3 linked regions of the Rattus norvegicus genome follow. The protein of the gene in region 1 interacts with the protein of each later gene in a biochemical or structural test. Links are inferred from orthologs where the notes say so. Each region holds a gene or a part of one and is shown in the gene's direction. Other genes may lie near its edges.

Region 1 (9,573 bases):
GGTTCTTTCCCCCTTTAAGTAGGCTCTGTGGATCAAACCTAGTGTTGTTGGGCTTATGCAGCAAGTGCCTTACCCACTGAGCCTCCTCACCAGCCCCTAATATATATTTAAGATTGCTAATTTCAGCAAACATGTTCGTTGTGGGGTCAGTTTATTGATTTTTTTAAATTAAGAAGTGGTTCAAATATAGAAAAAGTTTAAAGTAATTTTTTTCTATTTTGTATTCAGTGTAACTTCTATTGCTTTTCCCAGATACTATAAGTTTTTAAGGGAAATTAACTGAATACTGTTGAAAGTTGCCCCTTTTTGGGGGTTGGGTCTCTATATTTCCTGGCACTTTCCTGGCACTCACTGTATAGATCACATTGGTCTTGAACTCATAAAGATCTACGTGCCTCAGCCTCCCTTGGCTGGAATTAAAGATATGTACCACTATGCCCAATTTGAAAGTGTTTTGTGGGAACCGGGGGCCTCATCCATGAACAGCTCAGCAATGGCCAAGATTAAGGCTCGTGCCTGCGCGGCAAGAAGGAGGAGGAGCTGTTGAAACAACCGGATGATCTGAAGGTGGAACCGTCCCAGCTTCTCGTGGCCAAAGTGACAGGCAGCGCCTCGTCCACGCTCTCCAAGATACGAGTTGTACTCAAATCCATCGCCTGTGTCTTCACTGTCATTAATCAGACTCAAAAGGAAAACCTCAGGAAATTCTACAAGGAAAAGAAGTACAAGCCCATAGACCTGCGACCCCAGAAGACGAGAGCCATGCGCCGCCGGCTCACCAAGCATGAAGAGAAGCTAAAGACCAAGGAGCAGCAGCGGAAGGAGCGGCTGTACCCACTGCGCAAGTGCGCAGTCAAGGCCTGAGACGACAACAATAACAATAAAGTCCAAAACTGGAGAGAAAAAAGAAAGTGTTTTGTGTGGGTCCCCATTTTATCCTCTTCTCTCTGACTCAAATTAAGCAATATTGTAAAGGTAGTGTCTGCCTTCCTGTATATGCTTTACTATTATGTATGTATGTATTTGCCATATCACATGTATGCCTGGTGCCTGCCAAGGTCAGAAAGAAGGGGTTAGATCCTGGCTCCGAGTTACAATTATGAGTCACTGTATGCGTGTCAGGAATTGAACCTAGGTTCTCTGTGAGAGTAACAAGTGCTCTAACCACGGAGTCAATTCTGTAGCCCTTATATATATATATGCTTTTAACCCTTACTGAATATGTATATGTCTCCAACCGATGTAATGGTTTTATGTTTAAATTTTTAATGTAAGTGATACCATATAGTTTGCAACTAGCTTTTTCATCTAGTTCCTTTTTTAAGTGTCTCTGTGTTGATACATTTATATATTCAGTCTTCCAGTGTAAAAATGTGAACCCGGGACTTCCTGTACAGAGTGACTGCCTCTAAGCTATTACTCCCACCCCTAGTCTCCTTGAGCATTCTTTATCTACAAACTATTACACATTTATCTGAAATCGTCTCACTTCTCTGCATAACCATCAGTAAACACTGAATTGCAATATTTAGATATACTAGTCAATTTCCTAGCTTGTTCATTAAATTTTTTGTGTATATATTTGCTTCTCCTTTTCAAGTACAAGTATTTCAGGCACATACTACCAGGATCTAGCTTCAGTGTCTTTAAAATGTGAAATAAATATTTTAAGTTTTTATTCCTTGAGACTGGAGAGACAAACCAGCAGTTATGAGCTCCTGCTGCTCTTTCAGAAGACAGAGTTAGGTTTCCAGGACCCATGTCAGGTGACTCACAGTGCCTCTAACTCTAGCTCCAGGGGACTCAATGTCCTCTTCTGGCTCCTGTATGCATTCTGTACATAAAGCTTATACTGGCACACATAAGTAAAGTCTTAAGAAAAACTAACTCTTAATGTCTAAAAAGGTTACTTTTATTTCTTTTATAGAAGAATCAAAAGAACCTTTCTCTGATGAAGATGAGGACGACAATGATGATGTTGAACCCATTTCTGAGTTTAGATTTGTGCCCAGTGATAAGTCAGCATGTGAGTGTTGTGATACTGATCTTTTCTCCATATGTCCCCTCTCCCATTGGTAAGCACACACCTCTCCCCTTCATTACCGTTACCTCCGTTCTGTTGCTTTATCCTGTTTAGTCTCCTTAAAGTCATTGAGCAGGTACTTATTACTGTCCCAGGTTGTGGATACAGTAAGAATACTGTGACTAGCATGGTATCTGGTGCACTTTGTGCAAGGAGGACTCTGGTCAGTCTGATTGACTCTGTTGACTCAATGTCAACGGCTGGAAACACTTCCAAAGTTGAAAATGTGGAGATTTTTGGAAAGTATGTCATGTGACAGAGGCTTTTTCCTAATTAGCAGTGTGACCAACATCTCTGACCTTTTTTCTTTACTCTTTCTTTTCCCTTTCTCTTTCCTCTTTTCAACAGGGTCTCTCTATATAGTCCCAGCTGTCCTGGAACTATGTAGACCAGGCCTTAAACTCAAAGAAGTCTGTTTGCTTCTACCTTATGAGTTCTGAGATCAGAGGCCTGACCCACAACACCTGGGTTGGCCTTTTTTTCTTAAATCCAGCCACCAATGAAGAGATATTATAATGTCTTGAATCCTTACTTTGTGACTTATTCATTGTCTTCAAGCATTTTCCATGGTCAATTTTCATTTGAATTTTATAGATTTTATAAATATAGTTAGCCTAGTAAACCTTTTGTCTGCTTTTAAATTGGTTTGTAGCAGTGGTTATATTTATTCTAAAACTCTGTGGTGCACTGGAAAAAGTATTAGTTACAGTTTCCTGTCCTTCAGTGGAGGCGATGTTCACAGCAATGTGTGAGTGCCAGGCCCTGCATCCAGACCCTGAGGATGAAGACTCGGATGACTATGATGGAGAAGAGTATGATGTGGAAGCACATGGTCAGTGACTTGGGTCTCAGGTTGGCGTTACTGTTTCATTTTAAGCATGTGCTAAGGGCATACAATTTTTAGGTTTTTTTTTTTTTTTTCTATAAAGGAACCCATGTAAAATGGCTGTAAATAAAGGTCCATTAGCATACTTGGTGTCTCGGCCCTTTCAGCAGACAATTGGGGAAATGAATGGCTTTCCCAAGCTCAAACAACAATAAGATATTAGGGGTGGGGAATGGATAATAGAAACAAATGGGAAAGACAAGGACAGCTAGAAAGTCGGTGGTCAAGAGCATACCTCAGTCTGAGCTGGCTGTCCCTACCCTCCCCACTGAGAAATCTGTTCATGTATATCTCTTTAAAGTTGTGTTTAATTTGCTTATCTTACATGTATGAGTGTTTTGCCTGGATTCCTATATGTGCCCTCTGAGGCCAGAAAAGGGTTTTGGAACCCCCTGAGTTTGAATTATATGGTTGTGAACTGCTAGCTGGGTGCTGGGAACCAAACTGCAGGCCCTGCAAGAACAGCAAATGCTCTGACACCACCGAGTTGTCTCTCTAGAGTTCTCTTGATATCGCACTTTAATTTCCTTTTCCCTAAACCCATACTTCATTTATCCACAACTATTTTCCACTGCCTCCAGACCAGAATGTGCTCCCTTGCTCTGGTAGGTTGCAACCTAAGGCACAAACGGTCTCTTTGGCACCAGTCTGGGCATCTACAGTTCTTTCCTACACAGGAATCCAGTTCCCAGCCTAAGACTACCCATTTCTGGAATTATTCTTCACATACACAAATATGTTCTCATTTCTTAGAGATTTTTTTAAGTGATTTTCTGTTTTTGTCCCTTTTATATTCTTTTAGATTTTCTGGTTTTTTAAAAAAGGAAAAATATGTTAATTCAAAATTCTTTCAGTCAAATTTTGTATTTATTCACTTATAAAATTCCCACCTTGGAATATTCCCACCTTAGAATAATAAAGGATTCACCAATTTTAAAAACACCCTCGGGGCTGGGGATTTAGCTCAGTGGTAGAGCGCTTACCTAGGAAGCGCAAGACCCTGGGTTCGGTCCCCAGCTCCGAAAAAAAGAACCAAAAAAAAAAACCACCCTCTTTTCCTTCTGGTTTTCTAATTCTAATGGGTAGGGACATATTTTTCTTTTCTTTTTGGAACTCTTAATAATGACCCTATCAATAAATACCGGAAGCCTGTACATCTCCAGCAAATGCATTATTTATTGTCCACTGTCTTTTTTTCCCACTGCTGTATAAAATCGTGTTCTGTTTGTTTAGAGCAAGGACAGGGGGACATCCCTACATTTTACACCTATGAAGAAGGACTATCCCATTTAACAGCAGAAGGGCAAGCCACGCTGGAGAGATTAGAAGGAATGCTTTCTCAGTCTGTGAGCAGCCAGTATAATATGGCAGGCGTCCGAACAGAAGATTCAGTAAGAACTTACGAAGGTGAGTGCCCTTTCTCTTCACCTCATGTGGTGGTCATGTGGCGGTCCTGTGGCAGTCCTGTGCTTTCTGATCTCGAACTGCTTATGTGCCACACCCAGACTTAAAGCACATCTCTATATACTTCTCTTTTTTGGGGAGGGGGGGTCTATTTTGTTTTGTTTTTGAGACAGGGTTTTTCTGAGTAGCTTTTGGCTGTCCTGAAACTCTTGAAGTAGACCAGTCTGGCCTTCAACTCTGAGATCCACCTGCCTCTGCCTTCCTACTACTGGGATTAAAGGTGTATGTCACCCCCCCTTATATGTGTACATTTAATTCTTTTTAGAATAAAGTTTATGAAAAGTTTAAGGATAAGTTTATGATCCACATTTTATCCATTAGACAGCTAAAGCTCAGAAGGGTTGCATTGCTTGAGGTCAAACAGCTGATAAGAGGATTATTTCAGTGAACCATTATATAAAAGTAATATGCCTGCCATTGTCATCAGCACCTCTTACATTTTATGTGTTTAGTATATATTAGTATTTTATGCTCTAGGAACATTGTAACACTGTTGTTTTCAATGACTACAGGACATTGTTGAAGTGGCTTTAGTGTGTCTTCTCTGGTCCCCTTTCACTTCTCCCATGGTGCTGTGATCAGTATCACATGCATACAGCATATTGACCTGAGTTTTGGAGTTCTGGGATAGTGGCAAGGATGGGGAGATGGGGTAGGAATTGTATCTTACTGTATTGCCCATGCTAGACACAGACTAGTAAACTCAAGTAATTATCGTATCCCAGCATGCCTTACTCACATGTGGCAGGTGAAGAGTTGGGAGAGAGTCAAGAGTGAGAAAGTAAACAACTACAGATGGTTTTTTCCAGAGCACTTTTTTTTTTTCTGCCCTCCTCACATTTTTTTTTAAAAACTGTATTCTATGTGTATATGTGTTTGCCTGCCTGGATATCTGTGCTCCTTTGCATGGTTGTGGAAGCCAGATGCCCTAGAACTGAAATTGTAGACAGTTGAAATCTGCCATGTGGGTGCTACAAATCGAGCCTGGGTCCTATGAAAAGTCGACAGTGCTCTTATTCTTAAGTGCTGGACTATGCCTTTAGCCCTCATCCCATGCCATGTTAGTGAGATAATGGAAATGGGGAGATAAAGTTTGCTGCTGTTGTTTTTCTGCTCTGATTAATGCATTTGAAAATCCCTGCCAGCCAGACCTGGTGGCATGAACTTGTGATCCTAGCGCCTGATGTGAGCCCACAGGACGCAGTGACTTTGAGCTTGTCTAGGCTACATAGCTAAACATTCCAAATTTTTTTGGAAGAAAAGGCATAAATTGACTCCTGCCTAGGATTTGTGGGTTTGTATGTGTATGTGTGTTGATATTGTGGATTTACAAAGTTAGCTGTTTAGATTGATTTTTAATTTGACTTAAATCCACAGGTGGCTCAGATAACTTTGTTTTCAAAATAGAAAGAGTGGAATTGGAGGTGTTAGATAGCCTGAAGTGGTGGTCCACCTGCAGTCCTAGCCATGGGCCTGAGGTCAGGAGCGGAGGATAGCCTGAACTGCATGAGACCCTATTTCAAAAACAACAAAATGCCCAAATTTTTAAAATGCAGTTATTGTTTTTATTGTATTTTTTAGATTGGGTCTCACGTGTAGCTTAGAAGTACTACACAGACTAGACTGGCCTTAAACTCACAGAGTTCTATCTGACTGCCTCCCAAGGGCTGGGACTGCAACAGGGGACCACCATGCCAGGCCTTGCTGAGTCAAGTGTCTGAGAGAGTGTCTTTATGTACAGATGGCATGGAGGTAGAGACCACACCAACTGTTGCCGGACAGTTCGAGGATGCAGACGTTGACCACTGAGGATGACTCGTGTGACTTACAGTGAGTGAGTAGCTGATTCTCTCTCGTTACTGCATGAGGATCCCTGAAACGACAATGGGCTTAAAGAGTTCTAGGAAGGTAGCAGTTTTAAAAAATGTTATCCATCTCTGGTTACTGGAAATTACTTGGGTTTTGCCCTACAAACATCTTTTAAGTTCAGTTCCAGAAAGATATGACGCCCTCTTCTGGCCTCCACAGGCACTACATGCACATGGTACACATACATGCTGGCAAAATACACACACATAAGATAAATATATATATTTTAAGTTCAGTGTTTCTAAATTACTGCAGTTATAGAACTAACGATGCATGGTAACGATGCATGTTTTCTTCTAATGCGGCTATCAAAAAAATAGCCTTAGAGAAATTCTGTGGCTGTGTGGTTTATATCTCTTCCCATAAATGTTTTCCTTCCCTGCATTATTGCTGCTTTTGTGTAGTCTGTAGGCAGCAGACTCTCTGCTCACATCACTGCGAGCTTTCCTGGTGCCGGTTAGTTTTCCGCTCTCACAGTCCCAGACATTGATAACCCACCACCGACTCCAGGCCTGACCTCCCTTACTCATCATCACGTTAGTGACAGCTAACTGCCTTTGAAGGGAAGGGGCAGTGGCTAGCATTATAAGTTGTTAGTAGCCTGGATGGGAAGTTTTTCTTCTTTTTTCTCTTAGTGGATTTTTTTAAATTTACATTTAAATGTTATCCCCTTTCCCTGTTTTCCCTCCAGAAACCCAATATCTCATCCTCCCCTCCCCCTGCTTCTATGAGGGTAACTCTCTTATCCACCCACCCATTCCCCCCCACGCCCTGACATTCCCCTATGCTGGGGCATTGACCTTTGACAGGACCAAAGGCTTCTTCCATTAATGACAAGGCTATCCTTTGCTACATATGTGGATGGAGCCATAGGTTCATCCCTGTGTACTCTTGGGATGATGGTTTAGTCTCTGGGAGCTCTGAGGGGTCTGGTTGGTTGAAATTGTTGGTGCAAACCCCTTCAGCTCCTTCAGTCCTTTCTCTCATTCCTCCATTGGGGACCCCATTCTCAGTCCAATGATTGGCTGCAAGCACTCACCTCTGTATTTGTTAGGCTCTAGCAGAGCCTCTCAGGAGGCAGCTATATCAGGCTCCTGTCAGCATGCACTTCTTGGCATCTGCAATATTGTCTGGGTTTGGTGTCTGTATATGGAATGGATCCCCTCGGTGGGGCAGTCTCTGAATGACCTTTCCTTCAGTCTCTGCTCTACACTTTGTCTCCATATTTTCTCCTGTGAGTATTTTTGTTCCCCTTTTTAAGAAGGTCTGAAGCATCCACATTTTGGTTGTCCTTCTTCTTAAGCTTCATGTGGACTGTGGATTGTATCATGGGTATTCCAAGCTTTTGGGCTAATATCTACTTATCAGTGAGTACATACTATGTGTGTGCTTTTGTTTACTGGGTTACCTCACTCAGGATGATATTTTGTAGTTCTATCCATTTGCCTAAAATTTCATAAAGCCATTGTTTTTAATAGCTGAGTAGTACTCCATTGTGTAGATGTACCACATTTTCTGTATCCATTCCTTTGCTGAAGAACATGTGGATTCTTTCCAGCTTTTGGCTACTATAAATAAGATTTCTATGAACATAGTAGAGCATGTTGTGTCCTTGTTATATGTTGGAGCATCTTTTGGGTATATGCCCAGGAGTGGTATAGCTGGTCCTCAGGTAGTGCAATGTCTAATTTTCTGAGGAACTGTCAGACTGCCTATTATTTTTGTTGTTAGACATGGAATTGTGTTTGTGTGGCTCTCTTTTGGGTTAGTTGAAAGATTACTTTGTTTTTTCTAGGGAGTTCCCCTCCTTGTGTTGGAGTTTCCCATCCATTATCCTTTGTAGGGCTTGATTTGTGGAAAAATTGTATAAATTTGGCTTTGTCATGGAATATCTTGTTTTCTCCATCTATGTTAATTGAGAGTTTTGCTGGATATGGTAACTTGGGCTGGCATTTGTGTTGTCTTAGGTCTGTATGACATCTGCCCAGGATCTTCTGCTTTCATAGTCTCTGGTGAGAAGTCTGGTGTGATTCTGATAGGTCTGCCTTTATATGTCTCTTGACCTTTTTCCCTTACTGCTTTTAATATTATTCTTTCTTTGTTTAGTGGTTTTGACTATTTTGTGATGGGAAGAATTGCTTTTCTGGTCCAATCTATTTTGTGTTCATTTGTTAGTTGATCTGATTTCCAAACAGTGTAATTTTTGATCATTTAAGATTGTATGTGGGCTGGAGAGATGGTACAGTGATTGAGAGCACCGACCGCTCTTCCAAAGGTCCTGAGTTCAATTCCTAGCAACCACATGGTTGCTCACATCTATCTGTAATGAGATCTGATGCCCTCTTCTGGTGTGTCTGAACACAGCTACAGTGTACTCATATACATAGAATAAATAAAATCTTAAAAAAAAATTGTATGTACTTTGAAAGCCTAAAGAAGAAGTAGAGTGTTCGTGTAACCATTACTAATTCCAAACCTCGGGATGGAGCGTGAAATAGGGTACAGAAAGGTGCACACGTATCATAGCCTCACAGCTCCACCACGTATGTGCTCACATGCTGTCTCTGCTCCTCTGCAGGTGGCCTGCATAACAGGTTCTCAGTTTCCTCATCTCTACAATGGAAGCATAGTTACTAATCAGGGATATTACAAGGCCTGAGATACAACAATAGTTTGGAATCCTACAAGGCTTCACTAAATAATGGCTATTAGTAATAATAACTGTGAGCCCTTTGTCTTTCAGATTCTGCTCATAACTATAGGCAAGAACTTGATGCCTCTTCACTCCAGAATGGAGCTGGTGAAAGGCTTTTTTCTTCTCCAAAACTCATTTCTCAAGACAAACTATAATGAGACAGCAAGCTGTCACCAGCAGAAAAGACTCTGACCTCTATTAACAAAGGTGAATTAACTGAACGGGTTTTTGTAGTTTCTCATTTACCCCTAAGCTTCCTGTGTCTAGTTATCTTCTGAGAGGGCCTCTAATTCCTGCCTTTGCTGTGTGCAATCTGTCAGCTACGAGGCCTGTGTGTCGTGTGCACAGTGCTCACGCTGGGCAAAAGTGAGGTGGGGAGCTTAGATGTCTCTGGGACTTAGGAGGACTCTCTGATCCCTGAGATAAAAAGCAAAGGCCTCTGAGGGCACAGCCTTTAGCATTCTCCACGGACGCATGGGCCCTCTACTGGGGCTCAACCACATCTCGTCATGACAAATGCTTGTGTGCTACTTCTGTTCCTCCGCATTTACCATCAGCTCTGTTACATTCTCCTAG
Region 2 (9,516 bases), on another chromosome or scaffold:
GGGCTGACTCTCCTCACAGTTGGAAGTGCAATTTATCATCACGGGAACCAACCACCACTCAGAGAAGGAGTTCTGCTCCTACCTCCAGTACTTGGAATACTTAAGCCAAAATCGTCCCCCACCCAATGCTTACGAACTCTTTGCCAAAGGCTATGAAGACTATCTGCAGTCCCCACTTCAGGTAGGTTTGAAGAGCACTGAAGGTGGAGAAGGGACTGCAGGGATTATTCAGAGTTCAGAGCATGGGCTTCTCTTCCTGAGGACCTGAACTTGGTTCCCAGCACTCATCTGGTGACTCAGAGATGTAACTTCAGCTCCAGAAGACCAAGTGCTTTCAGTGCCTTCTCAGGCACTGCCTGCACATGGTGTGCACACATACATGCAAGCAGAATATCCATGCACATACATAGTTTTAGTTGAAAAAAAAAAAATCTTGGGACTGGAGAGATGGCTCAGAGGTTAAGAGCACTGACTGCTCTTCCAGAGGTCCTGAGTTCAAATCCCAGCAACTACATGGTGGCTCACAACCATCTGTAATGGGATCTAATGCCCTCTTGTGTGTCTGAAGACAGCTATAGTATACTCATAAAGATTTTATAAAATAAAATCTTCAATATCCATTCTTTATTTTAAAAAAAATAAATAATCTTCAAGAGATATAATAATAATTGTAATAATAGCAAGAGAGAGGGACAAGAAATATCTCTAAAGAGTAGGTAGTCCAGGTAGATCCTACCTAAACTCAGGAAGCAATGGGAGAGTTTTGATGTCTTGGCCATTTGCCAATACTGGCCAACTTCTTCCGTCTCATTTGTCAGCCTCTGATGGACAATCTGGAATCTCAGACGTACGAAGTGTTCGAAAAGGACCCCATCAAATACTCTCAGTACCAGCAGGTACAGTATTGGCTTCAGGAAGGCCAAGCACAGGCCAGGGAAAGGTTGGTAGAGATGGGGACACTTCTATGAGGTTTTCTGTCTCTCCCCTCAGGCCATCTATAAATGTTTGCTAGACCGAGTACCAGAAGAAGAAAAGGAGACCAATGTCCAGTGAGTCCTTCTTTTGTTCCCAGGTAGTTGTACGCTTGCTTCTCCCTCTGCTTGGTCTGCTTGACTCTTCCCTTTTCTTAGGGTACTTATGGTGCTGGGTGCAGGCCGAGGTCCTCTAGTGAATGCGTCTCTCCGGGCAGCCAAGCAGGCTGAGCGGCGGATTAGGCTGTATGCCGTGGAGAAGAACCCCAATGCTGTGGTGACGTGAGTAGCAGCCTGCTTGCTGGGCAGCTGGTCCTGGGTCCCAGTTTCCAGCTGAAGTCTTCCTTACTCGGTCACCCCTGATTTCAGGCTAGAGAACTGGCAGTTTGAAGAATGGGGGAGTCAGGTGACAGTTGTCTCGTCAGACATGCGGGAATGGGTGGCTCCGGAGAAGGCAGACATCATTGTCAGTGAACTTCTGGGCTCCTTTGCCGACAATGAGCTGTCACCTGAGTGTCTGGATGGAGCACAGCACTTCCTGAAAGGTTTGTCCAGGTTGGGGGGATCATATGGCTGCGAACTGCTGCTTGCAGGGTAAAATGATTTACACAGGAGTGGACTAGAGATTCCATAAGGCTTGTGGGCTCTGACCATGGCTTTGGAGCATTTATCTGAAATGAGGCCCAGAGTGTGATCTCTACGTGGGTAGAAAAAGTATCTTGGACTTAATGTTCGTTTGTTTATGGGGTTACCAGCATCTACATGGTGGGTTAGAGTGCAGTCAGACCTACCCTGGTGATATTCAGCAGTGGGCTGTGTGTGTATGATGTGATCCCACAGAATTGTGTCAGCCTGGACCTCAGTCATCTTAGTTTGTGTAAGGACTGTCATTTTCTCTCTAATAGTCCAGAATTTGTTCTGTGCTAAGTAGTGCATAGCTCTGTTTTTGGGGTGTTTTTTTTTTGGAGCTGAGGACCGAACCCAGGGCCTTGTAGGCAAGCGCTCTACCACTGAGCTAAACCCCCAACCCCTTGGGGTGTTTTTTTACCTTTACTTACGGCTCTAACATCCTAAGAGTAGAATTCCGATGATCCAACATCCTGTCCTCCAGCCGTGTTCCTAGCAGCCTTGGCTTGTTCTGTTGTTTGAGCCTTCAGCTGGTGCAAAAAATGCCCTCTCCCCTCCCTTTGGGAACTGATTTGACCCTGTTGTCCTGCAGATGATGGTGTAAGCATCCCCGGAGAATACACCTCCTTCCTGGCTCCCATTTCTTCCTCGAAGTTGTACAACGAGGTCCGCGCCTGTCGGGAGAAGGACCGTGACCCTGAGGTAAAGAGCTGCTTTTCTAGGAGGAGGGACTATCCTTCAGTCTGCTCTCCTGTCTTCCTCTGAAGCCAGTGAAGAGGTGAGAGGAGCTGGGATTGAAGAACGAGGGTGAAGTAAAACGATGTTTTCGTTCTTTGATGCTGGAACTCCAGCTTTCTCTGGGAAGTGGTGCCTCCTGTCTGTCTGTCTGTCTGTCTTCTGTCTCCTGAAGTTGTTGCTTTCTCACCCTGGCCAGGCACAGTTTGAGATGCCTTATGTGGTTCGGCTGCACAACTTCCACCAGCTTTCTGCTCCTCAGCCCTGTTTTACCTTCAGCCATCCCAACCGAGGTAGGTTCATGCATGGCTGTTCTGACTGAGGGGGTGCGAGCTTCCCAAGTCTAGGTCTCAGGTCCTGCAGTCCTAGAGCCTATTCAGGTTTGCCAAGTCATTGAGGGGTTTTGGCCCCTTGTCATCCATCCATGTCCTTCCTGACAGATCCTATGATTGACAACAACCGCTACTGTACCTTGGAGTTTCCTGTGGAGGTGAACACGGTGCTTCATGGCTTTGCAGGCTACTTTGAAACTGTGCTTTACCGGGACATCACTCTGAGTGAGTGTCTGGGAGCTCATTAGAGCACTGGTGATTTCAGTTCTTGGGGGCTGCTTCACAGTGTTCTCTCCTCCATGGAGATTGCTAGCTGAACACTAGCTGAGGTTACTGTCAGCCCGGCACAGTAATTTCATGGGGAGTCCAGAGTCCAGGAATAGAGGTCTCTGATTCTTAGGATTTTTTATGACCACAGAAGAGACTTCTCAAGGTAAGGAAGAGGGACAGTGGTGACCTCAAGTCTTTCATTACTTTGTCTCCACAGGTATCCGCCCAGAGACCCACTCTCCTGGCATGTTCTCATGGTTCCCCATCTTCTTCCCCATCAAGGTAGGAGTCCCCTCTAAGATGGTTGGTTGAGGGATAACAGTGGTGTTCTGCTCCTGTCCCTCAGCTAGTTGGCTGTGACCCACATTCTGTTCTGTCACTTGCTCTGTGGTCTTGGTTGGGGTTACCCAAGTAAGCTCCCTGGACTCCCCACATCTCCAACCACTCTTGTCCAGTCTTTACCTGGAAGAGGGTTGACTTTTTACCACTTAATTTGAATTGGCCTTTCTGTCTAAGCCCCTCAGTGCCTTCCCACTGCCCTCAGGTGAGACCCTGGAACCATGTTGTAAGAGTTGGCTTGGTGGCTTTTTCTGCCTCCCAGGAGATGTCTCTAGCTTTTAGTCCCCTCTGTTTTGCCTGTGAGGTTCTTTGCTCATGCCTTCACCCTGCCAACTGACCAGGTTTCCTGGGATATCTGCAATCAGGCCATTTTCCTGACCTCCTAGAATAGGCTGTCTTCCTCCTAAGTGCTTTCGCGGCTCCCTGTACATGCTCATAGCACTCACTGTGTCCTTGCTCACTGTCCATATTTTGACAGAGTAGGGACGTCTTTTTTTTTTTTTTTAAAGATTTTATTTATTTCATGTATGTGAGCACACTGTAGCTGTCTTCAGACACACCAGAAGAGGGCATCAGATCCCACTGGATCCCAGATGGTTGTAAGCCACCATGTGGTTGCTGGGAATTGAACTCAGGACCTCTGGAAGAGCAGTCAGTGCTCTTAACCGCTGAGCCATCTCTCCAGCCCCGAGTAGGGACGTCTTATGAGGGTCAGAATATTTTACTATATTTGTCTTTGGTTTTGAGAAAGGGTTTGGGATTATATTCAAGCTGGCTTTGAATTCCTGACCCTCCTGCCTAGCCTCCTGAGTTTGAGGGTTATAGGTTTGTACCCCACACTTGGCTGTTGATTATCTAATCCCCGTCTATCCTCCCAACATTGTCAAGTATAGTTCCTCAGCTCAACCCCAGCCTCTGTGTCTTTCCTATTACAGCAGCCCATCACGGTGCATGAAGGCCAGAACATCTGTGTGCGTTTCTGGCGATGCAGCAATTCTAAGAAGGTGTGGTACGAGTGGGCGGTGACAGCGCCAGTCTGTTCTTCTATTCACAACCCTACTGGTCGCTCCTATACCATTGGCCTCTAGCCCTGCACACAGCGTCAGAGCCTTGGAAGCAGCTCTGAGTTCTCTTCCTGTAGCACAGAAGGTGCAGAACATCTACTGGTTCAGTTCATCTGTGAGACCCTCACCTGCCAGCGAGGAACGATTCAGTCTGCTTTTCTACCTATGTCATGGTGGCCAGGGGGTAGGCATTCCAGGACTGCCAAGCATGGTGGTGCATACTTTTTATCCCAGCACTCCAGAGGCAGAGGCAGGTGAATTTCTTTAAGTTCAAGGCTAGCCTGGTCTACCCAGCAAGTTTCAGGCCACCTAGGGGCTACATAGTGAGATCCTGTCTCCAAAAAAGAAAAAAAAAAAAAAAGAATTGCAGGACACAAGCCAGCAGCAGTTTTCAGAAGCCTCTGTCGAGGGCACGAGGACTCAGTAGCACTGGAGGAAGTGGCATCGGCGGGCGCTCACCCTCCAGAGCTTCCCAGGGGTCAGGAGAAAAGGCAGAGGCTTGTGGGAGAGCCCCAGGAGTGTGCATGAACACTTGCGGCCTTCCCCTGGCCTTACTCTGTTGTTGTTTGGATGCTTTGTGTCAGAAGGAAACACAAATAAAGAGAAGTTACGGCCTCTGCTGCTCTCCCCTGCTGCCGCCTGCCTGTTTCCTACACTTCACTTCAATCCCAGCACACCGAGGTCTGTGCTCTTGCCTTGCCTAAGACCCAAGGAGGTCAGAAGCTGGGGATGTTCAGTAGTAGAGCACGAAGTACTCAGTGGTGACCTGTGAGGTTCCCACTTGTGCTCATGTTGTGTTCCGTCCCCGTGTGTCAAGCCCTCCAGCCTCACCCGCCCCCGCCCCGGGACCTCTGGGCGTATGCTTTTCTCATGTGGTCCATTAGGTTCATTTGTCTATTTCTCTAGGAAAGAGACACCTTGGAGATATGAGAAGAGCTTCTAGCTTCTCCCTTCCTTAGATGGATTGCCAGTAAAATCACAGAGTAATTGTCCATTTTGCAGAAGAAAATTTGAAGTTGGTACAGTGAAATGTTGCACCTATCCTAACATCTCTGACAGCAGCAACTTTTTGGGGTAGTGCAGGGATTGGGCAGCTCAAGGGTCCAGGAGCTTTGGGAAACCTAAGGAAGTGAGGGTTGGCACCATCAGTTCTTTTTAGAACAGAATACCCAAGTACCCATGTCAGCTGAGAAGTTATCTCGGTTTACGTTTGCAATAGGGGACCATGTGGGGTCTGATGTGAACAGCAGTGTTGCAGAGGAGTCTGGCAGTACTCAAGTCCCAAGGAGTGAGGTCAAGAGGGCGGTCTGGGGGCTGGGGATTTAGCTCAGTGGTAGAGCGCTTACCTAGGAAGCACAAGGCCCTGGGTTCGGTCCCCAGCTCCGGAAAAAAAGAACCAAAAAAAAAAAAAAAAAAAGAGGGCGGTCTGGAGGGTGGGTGGCTGCCTACTCAGGATGGAGGTATGGGGTTCTACAAAACCCTCGAGTCAGTAGGTATGGCCAAAGTTGTCCTCCGTGGGCTCTGCCCATCAGGTGCTTATGGGCATCTATAACTGGAAAGAACAAGTGAGTCTTTTCTCCATCTTTGCTTTCCTTCTGTAAGTCACTTAACTAGGGAGTTAGTGGTAAGCATCTCCCAAGGGTGCCTTTGCTTGAGTCCTGGAGAGGTTAGCTCATCTCCTGGGGTTAACTAAGACATTTGAGTTTGGCTCCTATGTAGGGCTGTAGCCAGTTCTTGAACCTTTGTTCTGACGGATCTCACAAGTGCATGGCATGGTCTGGAAAGAGGAGTCCAGCTGCCATGGTACTCTGTTGAGCATACAGGAAATAGTGGAGCTTCAGGCCCCCACAAACCTGAAGGAACAGAGCAAACCTTTGGGACTGGAGTTGGTGAGAAACCTTGCCCACTGCCACTGTCTGCGTAGTATACTGACAGTATATACCTAGGGACTCATGTGGTCCCAGTCCTGCGGTCACACTGGTATAAAGGAATTGGGATGCTCCCTCAATTCTCAGTCACTGGAAAGTTTATGTTTATTATGTTCTTATGTTAGTTTCTCTGGGTGTTTTTGTGTTTTGCTTCCCTGGGTTTTTAACTTTAACCACACATTCCATTCCTGAGCCCACATAAGAGAGAAGCACTGGGACAGGCTTTGTAGAGCTGGTGCCAACCAGCAAGTTAATTTTTTTTTTTTTTTCGGAGCTGGGGACCGAACCCAGGGCCTTGCGCTTGCTAGGCAAGCGCTCTACCACTGAGCCAAATCCCCCAACCCCGCAAGTTAATTTTAAAATTTAGTTTAAGTTAATTTTTGTTACTGAGACAGGGTCTACATAGCCCTGGTTGGCCTGGGACTTGAGATCTACCTGCTTCTGCATCTTGAGTTCTGAGATTAAATGTTTGGGTCACTTAAGTTTGGCAACCGTGGACTATGTTTTAAGAGAGTAGCCTTGGCTCATTACACAACATTCCGGTCTCTAAGTCAGTATTTCCACTTCTTCACTACATTGCCTTGGAGGTGCTTTGCCCAGGTCAGTGACTTCACCCAGGAAATGGTGCTGCCATTGTCCCTCAGACTCCCAACATTTGTTCAATTCTCTCCAAAGTGGTTGATTGCCTTTTAAACCTTCCTCTGCCCCTTTGGCCATGCTGTGACCGTGGGTGGCTGGTGTGACTTTTGAAGCAAGGATGGAAGCCGAGCTTGTGGATGGGATTTACTGTCCCTTGGAGGTCTTGAGTGGATTATCAGTGAAGAGTACGAGCTGCTGGTTTTTCAGAGGACGGCGTTCACAGCCTTCCATAATTCCTGTCTCAGGGGATCTGTTGCCCTCTTCTGAGGTCCATCGGCAGCAGACACACACGCTGCACAGATGTGTAGCCAAAACACACATACTCCATAATTAAGGGATCTTGACTCATAAGTTAGGGCACTGAGAGAGAGATCCTGACAACTATAACCTCAAAATGAATAATATTTAGAACGTCACTGTTTTTAGGACTTGTAAAACAACCTAACCCAGTGAGATTGTCAGACCAGGTAGGGTGAGGCTGAGGGAGGAGGATCAGTTGAGTCCTGGAGTTCAGGGATACAATGCTTTCTGCCACTGATAACCACGTTCAGCATCAATGTGGTGACTTCCTGGGAGTGAAAGACCACAAGAATTGCCTAAGGAGAGACAAAGTGACCCATGTCAGAAATGGAGTGAGTCGGTGTTGGTTTGAACGAGAATGGTCTCAACGGGATCATATATTTGAATACTTGGCCCCCAGTTGCTGGAACTGCTTGAAAAGGATTAGTAGGTGTGGCTTCATTGGAGGAGAGGTATTATTGGGCGTGAGCTTTGAGGTTTCAAAAGCCCATGCCATTCCCATCCAGCTCTCTGTCTCCAACTTGTGGATCAGAAAGTAAGCTCTCAGCTATTGCTCTAGCCCCATGCCTGCCTTCCTGCTCCTCTACTATGCTCCCCACCTTGACAGTCATGGACTAACCCTCTGAAACCCTAAGCCTCAATAAACTCTTTTATTAGTTGCACTTTCATGGTGTTTTGGCATGCAATCGAAAAGTAAGACATTCACACTTTACTTTCTGATTAGTAGTGGGGTTGTGGGTTGTGCCTGTAAATAGCTACTATACCCCAGCCTGGACAAAGGAAGACACTATCTCCTCAGAACAAAGACAAAACCAAAACCCAACCAACCGATCCCCAAACAAAACAAAACAAAACACCCCCAAAACAAAACAACAACAAAAAACTACGAGTTTGTTTTTCAAAAGAGGGTTTTCGTATGTAGCCCTGACTGTTCAAGAACTCACTATATAGACCAGGCTGGTCTTGAACTCAGAAATCTGCCTGCCTCTGCCTCTCAAGTGCTGGGATTAAAGCCACACACCACCATTTTCAGCAGGTCAATTTATTAAAATTAGCAGTAAAGGAGTTCCTACTCATTGGAACATCATAGCATATTTATAATAACTATTAACATAATCTGGGATCACTTAGGTATATATTATCCATGGTTAAAAGAAATGTCATGGGGTTGGGGATTTAGTTCAGTGGTAGAGCGCTTGCCTAGCAAGCACAAGGCCCTGGGTTCGGTCCCCAGCTCCCCCCCCCCCAAAAAAAAATGTCATGTGGTGCATGACTATATTGGGTCTACGCTTAAATTGCTCTGAATAGAAACTTCACATACACAGTTTATTTGTATAGAATTATCAACTTCAATGAAAGATTTTTTTTTTTGGTTGGGAGAGTGGCTTCCAGATCCTTATGTATACTATAAGCACACTGAAATACACCCCTAGCTCCTTTATTCAGACACAGTGCTAGGATTATAGGTAGGAGTCAGCATTCCTCTCTAAAGGTGGGCAATTCTTGAAGTCATAAGTATTTTATTTAGAGGGAAAGATAAGTTTGTTTTGTTTTGTATAACCTGTGTGGTATATGCACCAAGCAAGACTTCCTAGCTGGTTTTTACTGCTCCCTGCCTTATTGCTTTATGACAGGGTCTCATGTTAAACTGGATGTTCACTGTGTCAGCTAGGCTTGTTGGCTGGCTATTGGGGTCTCAGGATCTGCCTGTCCCCATTCCCCCAATGAGAGAGTCACAGGAGAGTGTAATAGGTGCTGGAGACTTGAACACAGGTCCTCATTCCCCATGCTTGCAAAGCAAACCCTCTCACCCATTAAGCTGCCTCACTAGCTCCCCTGAGTTTTGTTTGCTTGTTTGCTTTTGGGTTTTTTTGTTTGTTTGTTTTTTTGTTTTTTTTTTTCTTTTCTTTTTCTTTTTTTCGGAGCTGGGGACCGAACCCAGGGCCTTGCGCTTGCCAGGCAAGCGCTCTACCACTGAGCTAAATCCCCAACCCCGTTTTTTTGGGTTTTTTGTTTTGTTTTTTGGGTTTTTTTTGACAGGATCTCATGATCTTGAACTCTGTGTGTAATTGAGGTTCTTAAGGTTTTTGGTTTTTTTTAAATTGGGATGGAGCAATGGTGGTTGAACTAGTCACATGCCTCTTTAATCTCAGCACTCAGGAGCCAGAGGTGTGTAGAACTCTGAGTTTGAAACCAGTCTGATCTACATAGCCAATACCAGGACAGTCAGGGCTAAGTACAGAGACCCTGTCTCAAAAATAAATAAATAAATAAATAAATAAATAAATAAATAAATAAATAAATAAGGACT
Region 3 (10,190 bases), on another chromosome or scaffold:
CTCCTGTATCTTCAGGGACTAGCTGAAAGGTCACTATTTGTAGGGCTTTCTCTGACCCCAGGCTGGTCATTCCCCATCCCTCTTGTGTAATCCTTTAAACCAGAGTTAGGCCTAAGGTTGTAGAATGTAGATCTTATCTAGTCTTTGCTCCAGGAACCTCTAAGCCTAAGTCTTTCAAAGGCCCCTCGGCCTTTTAACAGTTTGTAGATTAGATCTTCCCAAATCCTGTACCTGCACACAGCAGGGAGAGGAATTTCGGCTCTGGTTTCAAAGCCTTAAGAGTCCTTGGGATGGGCAGATGACTCAGTGGATAAAGAGCTCAAGCAAGATGACCCAGGTTCAGAGACCCAGAACCCACACCAGCCTGTAACCCCAGCAAGCAGATGGACACAGAAGTTTCAGCGAGCTGGCTAGGCAGACTAAGAGAAACAGCAAACTCAAAGATGAGTAACAGATTCTGCCTTCAGGAAGACACCTGAAGTCAGCCTTCCAGATGCATGCATACACACACACATACATACACACAGATACATGAGAACACACGCATGCACGACCCCTACCCTACACTTACCCTTACCCTCACCGTTACCCTTAAACTTGCCCTTATCCCTGACACTACCATTACCCCACCACTATCCCAACAAAATCCAAACTCCAAACCCTTTCTCCAACATCCTCTTCTGCCTTCTGAGAGCAGAGAGCACACATGAGGTACACAGACAGACCCACAAGCAATAAAACAAAACAAACAACAACATCAACAACAACAACAAAAACCAAAAAGCCTCATGGACATAAAATAAAAACAAATCTTTAGGGAAGTAATTGCCCAGCTGTGAGGTTTCTGAGTTTGGGTCTTATTCAAAGACAGGAAACACTAACCTAGGCTCTGCCTCAGTTTCCTTTCTAGTTGCAGTGATGACAGACCCTGACAAACATAACTTAGGGGAAAAGGGGCTTATATTAGTTCACAATTCCAGGGTGCACCCATCACTTTTGGGAAGTCACAGTGGTTGGGTCAGCCAGTCAGATCATATCCAAAATCAGGAACCGACAACAAAGAGTATACACGTGTCTGTCTTTCCCCCTTTTATCAGTCTGGGGCCCAACCCACTTTTGGGGTGTGTCTTCCCAGCACAATTAACCCATTAAGAAAATCACTCACAGGCAGAGCTAGACAATTCCTTACTAAGACTCCTTTCCCACAAGATTATAGATTCTATCGGGTTAGCGATTAAAACTAAATGGCATTCTGGAGATCGCTCAGCAGCTGAAAAGTACTCTTTTGCAAAGGACCAAGCGCCCACGGTGGCTTATAGCCAGCTGTCTGTTAAGCTCCCATTCGGGGGATTCTGACATTCTTTTTCAGCTTCTGAAGGCACCTGTATGCAGACAAAATACTCAAGACACATAGAATTTTATAAAGTAAACAGCCATAGGGCTCCTTTTATCTCTCTCATACTCTGCTGTGAGAGGACACATCATTTCTCCCTTTCCTCTCTTCCTCCCACGTGGGCCTATCTAGAGAGAGTCTACCAGGGATGGATGGATCTTGTACTGAACTTGCCGGCATCTTGATCGTACAATTCTCATAAATCCCTATTGCTTATAAATTTTCCAGTTGTAAGACACCAGGGAACATACTCATCTTGTTTGTTTGCTGTCTCCCTGCCTAGTGTCTGATGCTTAGTGCTCTCTCACTATCACACTTATACATGATGTACACAAGGGGATGTAGCACTTGTCCAGCACTGACCAGGACCTAGGTTCAATCCCCAGTGCTACAAATTAAAAAAAAAAAAAATGGAAAAAAAAAGTTGCACTTACTGAGGTGACGTAAACTTGGTCTCCAGGGACTATTATGCTAAAACAGTTCTCTCGGTAGCTACAGGAAAACTCTCTGCAGGGTGTGGCACTATCAAGATGGGTGTCTTCACTTTTCAGAACCCTTACTGAGGCTGTAAAGGGCTCTGAGCTACTCAGGCTGATTGCTACCCAGGTTTTGTTTTTATGCCACCATTGGTCTGGAATGTTGCTTTCTCATCTCTGACTTCCAAAGCCTCTGTTCTACAACAACACCCCCCTCCCGTCATTCTCTCTGCCCTTCAGCATGCTCATAGAGAGAGTATCGGCCTTCTCCCTGGTCAGCCTGAGAATTCTGTCATGGGCATGTAGGATTAGGGCTGAATTTGCCTCCTCCAGTCCTCACCCATAGCTGACACTCATTTATGCCGTTGAGAAGGTTTGGGGTTGATTTTGGTTTTTTAAAGCTCTACCCTTTGAAATACCTACTTGTTGCTATAAGTGCCCATTAGTTCTAGGCCTCCAGATCACACCCTCTAACGGAGGCTGCCTTCTTACTTGATGGCCTGAGCTCTGCCTCTAATTATTTGGGACACGCCCTCTAAAATGTGGCATAGGACAGACGCTCCTCAGGGTCCTAAGAGACTCAGGTGTCTCTCCCCTTTCCCTCAGCCTTAGAACCACTAGATCCCAAGGCCTCACAAGGCAAACATTCCTTAACTATCCTGATCTTAGCACAGGGAGGATGCTTTCTGAGGCTAGGTGATAAGGGTAGAAGCAGCCTTGGTATTTGTCCTGATAACAGCATCAGAGCCCAAAACTGCTTCAGATCTTGAAGCTTTAAGCCAAGACAGTCCTCCACCTGAGCTAGGATCTGCTTTGGAGAAAGCCTTGGGCTGGCTTCAGCTGTCTGGTTGTCACGAGAGAAAAAAGGCAGTCAACTCTTCCCGCTATTTTAACCCTCTCAGCCTGTCTGCTCACCTCAACGGGTACAGAAAACAGCAGTAGCCTACTTGACTGGGATTTAGAAACATGAATTCTGTGCTATCTATAAACACTTTAATGCTGCGTCTACCTCTTAGCACCCTACACAAGTGAGCCATTATCTGCCGAGGCTAAGAAAGGGCAATGATCTAGTCAAAGTTCACAGCCGCAGCTAACTGGAGAAGTAAATAAGTAAATTCCAGCACAGGACCAAGCCCAGCTCCAGGTTACAACCAGAAGGAACCACTCCCTGAACGTGATGCCCCTCTCCAATTAAGAGTTTGGGTCCCACACCCCTTGACCCCTACCCACGAGATAGCGCCTCGCCTGTAACAGTTTATTAATGTCAACTCTTGTGCCCTAACCAGAGCTCCACCAGAACTTCCTGCTGTCCCCACTTCGTGAGTAAGCAAAGGGGCTCGGGTTTCCTCAGGGCAGAAGGAACCAGTAGTAAGCAAATAACCAAAACAGTAGCAAGACAAAAGCGCTGGGTTTGGGAAGCCAGAGAAAAAGACCTTCCCTTTGCTAGATGCTCCCAAGCCATTTTTTCCCCTCTTTCCCGCCCCTTTGTTGAGTGCTCTCAGGCCCCTCTTTCCCCCCCTTCCCGGCCTCAGGCTTTCCACAGCTCCCCGGGAAACAGGATCACCCAACGTGCTTCAAGCAGGGCTATTCGTTTCTGAGCAAGGTTGTGCCTTTTTGCCCCTTGGACTTTTCCACTTGACCACTCTCAGAACTCCCTGGGCTTCAAACCCCGGGAGACTCAGAACAACCATAAGTTGAGGATAAGAGATGAGAAGGAATATCCACCTAGCTAGGACCCACTAGAGGCTCCAGGCTGGGCTGAGGCCGCAGACGACCCAAGGTCGCACGCTGCCAGACCCTGCTCGGCTCCAGGGCGGAGTCCCCCCCCCCCTCGGTTCCCCCTTAGAGAGGCACTGACCCGGCTCGAGCGGCTGCCCCGCTGCCTCTACCTCCGTTCTCATGACCCGGGTGGCGCAGGGCGCCCATGGCCCCGGCCTGGAGCTGATTGCCGCTGCGATTTCTGCTGGGCGGAGAGCTCGGCCAGTGAGCGTAGAGTTCCTCCGCCGCCGTCGCCGCGGCCACCGCGGTTCAGACCCGGGTAGGCGGTGGCGAGGCCGCCTCAAGCCACGCCTAATCCCTTCCAGGTCTGGGCGCTGGAAACCCGCCCCTTCCATAAGCCACACCTCTTCCCTTCTACCCACTTCTCTTCCAGACTGCGCTCCCGGCCGGTCCTTCCCTTAAACGCTCCGGCGGCCCCGCCCTTCCTTAGCCCCGCCCCTGCCCGAGCCCCCGCCCCCAGAGCCTTTCCCGGGGCGACGTTGGCTCCCCACAAACAACCTAGCACTCTCCCGCCACTAGGTCTGCTCTTTTGCAGCCTCAGTTGTAGGCTCTGGTCCTTCGCAATGCCTCGTCGAGACTCCAAAGAATCCTTTTCCTACTCCCTTTAGGTCTTCTTACTTTGACCTTGAATAAAGATAGTTCCCAGGGCTCGGTGTGTCCCTTACCTGACGGTGACCGGATCCAAAGTTTAAATTTCTAATCCAAGCCTCACTTCCTGTCTACCCAGAGCATTGGGCGCAAGCCCAGATCCTGCCCAATCCGTCACTACAGCACTCTGTAAGCGTGGGTCCCCATGTTCCTTTGTGGGCTCGAGGATTGATGTTTCCGGCGGTCCTCGGGCCCTCCACAGTGCCGGAACTATAGTGCTAGAGGCCTGGGTTCCCCAGCCGGCTAAGTGAGAGTAAAGGGTAAGTAGGCCTAAAGGAAAGGGAGGGGCCTGCGCAAGGCATTCTGGGAGCGCGTGGTGTGAGTGATACTCGGGCCCGTCGTTTCCTCGCCTCAAGCCTTCGCCTTCTAACGTTTGTGCCGGGACCGAAAAAAAAAAAAAGCCTGCAGTTAGTTGGTGAGGAGAGGCGGCTAACGGGAGAGGGGAGGCCAGGGCTCTCCAGAGGCTTAGGAGCTGAAAGGGACGCGGAGGAGGAGCTCAGCGGGGCTTAGCGGAGGGCGGGAAGCCAGGGCCTATCCAAATATCATCTCACTAATCCTAGGAACAGTTATTTATTTACGCCTAGCCAGCACGTTCTGTGCCTTTCCAGGTCACCGATTTTCGAAGCTTACAGGCAGTCCTTTCTTGCTAGTTATCTCCTTGCCTTCCGGATCTTCGTTTTCAACGTCCTTTTCATCCCTGCGCCACTCCCATTCCTGTACTGGCCTCCCCTCCTGCTTTGCACGCTGCTGCAGACGTTTCAGCAGATTGCTCTGCTATATGTTTAATCCACTTTGTAGATGCTACTAGTTTTTTTTTAAGCCCTTGCCTATAATCCTGTAGTGTTTCCCTACCATTTTCAGCACTCTCCTAAAGTTGAAAGCCGTGGTTCCTCACCATGTTTAGCATCCTTATAGTCTTCTCATGAAAATGGGCCGTGTGCTCCGTCTAGTGTCGTTTCCCGTCTCAGAAATGTAAAAGCCCTGCGCATAGTCTTTGTTTTTTTAATGAGACTTAAGTCGAGCGTTTACCCTATTTCCCTGAATGATGAGCATTTCCTGTTTATAGCATGTTGCCGTGACGCTTTTGGTCTGCTTTTTGGTGGGGAGTCAAAAAGCTAAATTGTAAAGCACAACCTGTTTTCCTGGATTTCTCTGGGTTTAGGTCTCTTTGTACTATCAGGTACTGTAGCTTTTATCCAAATGCGGTTGCTGAGTGATTGGAATATGACTAGTGTGGCTGAGGGACAGATTTTTTTTGTTTTCATTTGCATTTTGTTTACGTGTAAACAGTTATTTGGTCGGGGTCCATATCATAGTTGTTTAAATGATTATAAAGAGAGGGACATATGACTGGGTGAGAAGGGAGGTACTCGGGGTTGGGGATTTAGCTCAGTGGTAGAGCGCTTGCCTAGGAAGCGCAAGGCCCTGGGTTCGGTCCCCAGCTCCAAAAAAAAGAACCAAAAAAAAAAGAAAAAAGAAGGGAGGTACTCTGATCCCATTCATTGGCTTTCTTTGTCCAGTTTACCATCCTTCCCTACCCTACATGTTGGGCTAACTTGCCGTCGTGGGTCCTTCAAACCAAGAGCCAGACTCCTTCCACAGAAAATGCAGCCGTGACAGAATCTGCAGAGCCTGTGGAATGCCAGTCCTTAGGCTCCGAAAGGTAACCATTGTCTCTCTCACTGCCCCATAGGAAGAGTCCTGCCAAGATGTCTATCGGTGTGCCAATTAAAGTCCTGCACGAAGCGGAAGGCCACATAGTGACATGTGAGACCAACACTGGTGAAGTGTATCGGGGGAAGCTCATTGAGGCAGAGGACAACATGAACTGCCAGGTATCCTGCTTTGCACCCGGGGCTGTGAAAGAACGGTGGCTTCTATCCTGGGGGATAAAAAGGTCTTAATGAAGTTATTCTTACCAGACAGTTACTACCTGTCAGGCACTCTGACAGGCTGTGAGATCATATGTCAATGTAGACTTAGTCTTGAGACAGGAAAGTCATTTGACAGCCTGATGTGGTAGTCCATGAATGTCCCAGCAGTTGGGAGGCTGGGGTAGATTCGAGGGTTCTAGGCCAGTGTGGGCTTTACAACAAGACCACACTGCTTTTGGTGGGGAGTCAAAAGGCCGAGTTAAAAGCCCCGCCTCTCTTCTTAGTTTTCTCTGGGGTTGGGTCTATGTGTGCTTTCAGGTAGCCTTTATCCAAATGCAGTTGCCGAGTACCTGTCCGTAAAACAACCAGTTATGTTAACTTGTTCTGTCTGTCTCGGCTCCTAGAGTAGGTCAGGTTCGGAACCGGAGTCCGCTTCCCAGCACAGTTTATAGTTTGCAGAATTTTCTGCTCACATATGTGTGTGTTTACTTTTGTCTTGGAGAAAGTTCATCTGATAAAACTACCAGAGTTTTGATAAATGGTTTTGGATTTTTTTTCTCCCATTAATTAAGAACTTGAGCTTTGGAATCAGAGAATTCTCTGATTTCAAATTGAGTTGGGCCACAATTATAGGACCTGGGGTACCTTGGCCATTCGTTCTCTCCTCTATAAAATGAGAATGGAGTTGTTTTGGATCCTCTGTGCTGTAAATGCCAACCCAGAATTAAATCCACAAAAGACTTGTTGGGGAAATGGCAGAAGGATGTCAGTGACCGAGCGGGATAGCACATGTGATTGGTTACTTTTCTTGTTGCTGTGATCAAATTCCTGACCAAAGCAACTTACGGAAGGAGGAATTTATTTTGACTCACAGTGTGATGACACAGTCTGTTGCAGAGGATGGTGTGATGGCAAGAGCTTGAGGAGGCTAATAGTCGCATTGAATGTGCAATCAGGAAGCAGAGATTAGTGCCTGCGCTTAGCCCAGTTTCTACTTTTGACCTCCACCTAATCTAGATAATCCCTCACAGACGTGCCTGTCCCTTCCTTCAGTAATTCTAAATCCATTAAGTCGATAATAGTAATGATGGTAGCAGGAGAGTCTTCAATCCAGAGAAAGGAAGGCAGATTGAGCAGAAGGAGCCTCAGACTGCAGCATGATGCTGAGCAAGTTTCCCCAAGTAAGAGGAGTGACTGGAGGCAGAAGTGGACTGGCTCTCATGTTTCCTCTGTGCTCAGTCCCTGGCAGCCTGTGTGCATGGCTAACGCAGAGTGAGTGCCAGGGCAGATCCAGAGCAGCAGCTGGAGGATGTCGGCTGCACACTCTTCCCTGCCTATTGTCTCTGGAGGATGAACGTAACATCCCTAGACTGCTCCAGGTCTAGAGATGTTGGAGAAGAGACGTGTGTGTGGGCAGCAGCCAGCTCAGTGCTCTGCTGTTGGAGTGAATCTGTAACATCTTATAAGAATATATTCTTAGTGAGAAAATGAGGTTGGAAAGGTGCAGTGCTTGTTTAGGGCGCATCTGTAGTAAGAGAACCTGCCTGTTGCCTTTTAGGGTTTGTGTTAGTTATCAGGGTCTCTATTCCTGCACAAACATCATGACCGAGAAGCAAGTTGGGGAGGAAAGGGTTTATTCAGCTGACACTCCCACATTGCTGTTCATCACCAAAGGAAGTTGGGACTGGAACTCAAGCAGGTCAGGAAGCAGGAGCTGATGCAGAGGCCATGGAGGGATGTTACTTACTGGCTTGCTCCCCCTGACTTGCTCAGCTTGCTCTCTTATAGAACCCAGGACCACCAGCCCAGGGATGGCACCACCCACAAAGGGCTGGGTCCTCCCACCCTTGATCACTAATTGAGAAAATGCCTTACAGCTGGGTCTCATGGAGGCATTTCCTCAAGGGAGGCTCCTTTCTCTGTGATAACTCCAGTTTGTGTACAGGAGGACGAATCTGCTTTGTAAGAAGGCTGGTGACAGCAGCAGGAAACGGAGAGCTTACATTTTCAGTAGACAGCACGAAGCATAGAGAGCAAACAGGAAGTGTCAGGGTCCTCAAAGTCTGCCCCCAGTGACATCCTTCAGCAAGGCTTCATCCCCCAGAGCCCCCCAAAACATCACCAACTCGGGGGCCAAGCATTCAAATGCCTGCAATTATGGAGGCCACTTTTCATTTAAACTACACACTTGTGCTGGTTAGGTTTTTGTCAATTTGACACAAGCTAGGGTTGTCTTAGAAAAAGGAACCTCAATTATGAAAATGCCTCTATCAGATTATCCTCTAGGTAAGTCTGGGACATTTTTTTGATTAGTGGTTGATGTGGGAAGACCCAGCCCATTACAGGCTATGGGGGGGAGGTGCGATTAAGAACGGTAGGTGAGGACCAAGCATGGTGATAAAACCAACACCTGTAATCCCAGTACTTGGGGAGCAGAGGCAGGACAACCAGGACCATAAAGGAGGTTGTCTACAAAACAAAACAAAACGGGCATGGTGGTGCACACAGATCTCTGAGTTCAAGGTCAGCCTGCCCTACAAAGCAAATTCTCTCAGCCAGCCAGGACTGTTACACAGAGAAACAAAAAAGTGTGTGTTGAGCATGAGCCTGGAGGGCAAGTCTGGAAGCAGCATTCTTCTGTAGTCTCTGCTTCAGTTCTTGCCAACTTGGATCCTGCCTTGGCTTCCCTTAATGATGGACGGCGATCACAATGTGTATGCCAGATAAACTCTTCTACCCCCCGCCCCCAGGTACTTTTGGCTGAGGGGATGTTTATTAGAGCAACGCAAAGCAAACTAAAACAAGATTTAGTTTAGAGTTGGTGGTGCGTGCCCACACCTCTCCTTCCCCTCTGCTGGGAATGGAGCCCGGTGCCTCAGGCGAGATGGTTAAGCTCTCGCACTGAACTGTGCCATTTGCCATTGTGGGGTTGCTTTTGAGATGAGATCTCTATAGATCCCAAGCTGGTCTTTAACACTTGATCTTCCTGCTGCCTCAGTGTCAATTCTGTAATTTCTGGCAAGTGCCATCCCACTTGGCCTTGAGGCTTCTTCAAGTCCTGTACTACTTGGTTTCCTTCCAAAGGAAGGTCCTGAGAGGTGTAGCTGACTTAGTGCTGTCAAGACCTGTAGTGGTCTGCCTTTGTGAGGGTCCGCTTTCATGGGTCCTGCCCTCTCATTTTACCCTCTGCTCCCTTCAGAATCAGTGATAAACTAACCAGCGAATGCTCATTTTGATTTACTTATGGAGTCTGAATACTTGTATCTCTTTGGGACTGATGGCTCCTGCAGGTTCCCCTGCTGTCTCCTTTCCAGCCCCCAGCCCTTAAGAAATACCTTCCAAATACCTTCCCTGGGTAACATTTTCTTATAAACTTGGGGCAAAGCCAAGCCTGGGAGTTCACATAGTTCCAGCACTTGGGGAAACTGAGGCAGAAGAATCATCACCACAAAATTCAAGGGAAGCCCGGACTTTTTAACACCTTGTCTCAAATAAATAAATAAATAAATAAATAGCCCAGAACAGAATATTAACACATCACAAAGATTTGGGAACATGAGAGGATTCCATTACAGCCGCTTCTTTTCCTGTGTGTATTGACACAGACTTCTTTACCTATGTGGCCCTTATTGTATAAGAAATGGCTTAGAAAAATTATAGTTTGTTCAGTGCTGGGAGTAGAATCTGACAAGTACTCTCTACTCAGCTGTGCCCTCTCCCTTATGTGGTAGTTTCACGGGAGGGAATGGGCTGTGGTGCCACTGAGCTTGATTAGAAAGGCAGGCAGCTCGTACTTGACTGAAAGCTGAGTTCCTATGCATCTAATAAAGGTTCCTTCAGGTATGAAGCCAGTCAGAAGGAAATCATTATGAGATACAAATTTCTCTGGCATTCAGATACCCAAGATCCTATTAAGTGATGTTCTTAGGTGCTCGAGAGACAGCTCAAGTTGGAAGCTCTGGCTTCTCATTAAAAAGACCTAGATTCAATTGTCAGCACCCACATGGCCGCTCATAGCCA

What was found.
Region 2: the proteins of Clns1a (region 1) and Prmt5 form a complex in vitro, tested with the Homo sapiens proteins (5 studies listed by BioGRID and IntAct, with this or other methods). The link is inferred for Rattus norvegicus from reciprocal best matches to the Homo sapiens genes CLNS1A and PRMT5.
Region 3: the proteins of Clns1a (region 1) and Snrpd3 form a complex in vitro, tested with the Homo sapiens proteins (2 studies listed by BioGRID). The link is inferred for Rattus norvegicus from reciprocal best matches to the Homo sapiens genes CLNS1A and SNRPD3.

The regions. Positions count from the first base shown.
Region 1 is NC_086019.1:161,441,225-161,450,797, forward strand, and holds part of Clns1a (methylosome subunit pICln), read left to right. Parts: exon of another isoform or gene 1-911; intron 912-1,927; coding exon 1,928-2,026; intron 2,027-2,807; coding exon 2,808-2,915; intron 2,916-4,202; coding exon 4,203-4,376; intron 4,377-6,174; coding exon 6,175-6,242; 3' UTR 6,243-6,263; exon of another isoform or gene 6,264-6,267; intron 6,268-9,045; 3' UTR 9,046-9,573. UniProt on the Homo sapiens protein: Involved in both the assembly of spliceosomal snRNPs and the methylation of Sm proteins.
Region 2 is NC_086033.1:31,934,381-31,943,896, reverse strand, and holds the end of Prmt5 (protein arginine N-methyltransferase 5), read left to right. Parts: intron 1-19; coding exon 20-181; intron 182-818; coding exon 819-896; intron 897-990; coding exon 991-1,049; intron 1,050-1,130; coding exon 1,131-1,253; intron 1,254-1,340; coding exon 1,341-1,516; intron 1,517-2,190; coding exon 2,191-2,300; intron 2,301-2,532; coding exon 2,533-2,626; intron 2,627-2,773; coding exon 2,774-2,890; intron 2,891-3,152; coding exon 3,153-3,217; intron 3,218-4,209; coding exon 4,210-4,362; 3' UTR 4,363-4,970; downstream 4,971-9,516. UniProt on the Homo sapiens protein: Arginine methyltransferase that can both catalyze the formation of omega-N monomethylarginine (MMA) and symmetrical dimethylarginine (sDMA), with a preference for the formation of MMA.
Region 3 is NC_086038.1:13,139,327-13,149,516, reverse strand, and holds the start of Snrpd3 (small nuclear ribonucleoprotein Sm D3), read left to right. Parts: upstream 1-4,596; 5' UTR 4,597-4,711; intron 4,712-5,989; 5' UTR 5,990-6,005; coding exon 6,006-6,131; intron 6,132-10,190. Other genes in the region: protein GUCD1, read right to left, coding at 3,728-3,983. UniProt on the Homo sapiens protein: Plays a role in pre-mRNA splicing as a core component of the spliceosomal U1, U2, U4 and U5 small nuclear ribonucleoproteins (snRNPs), the building blocks of the spliceosome.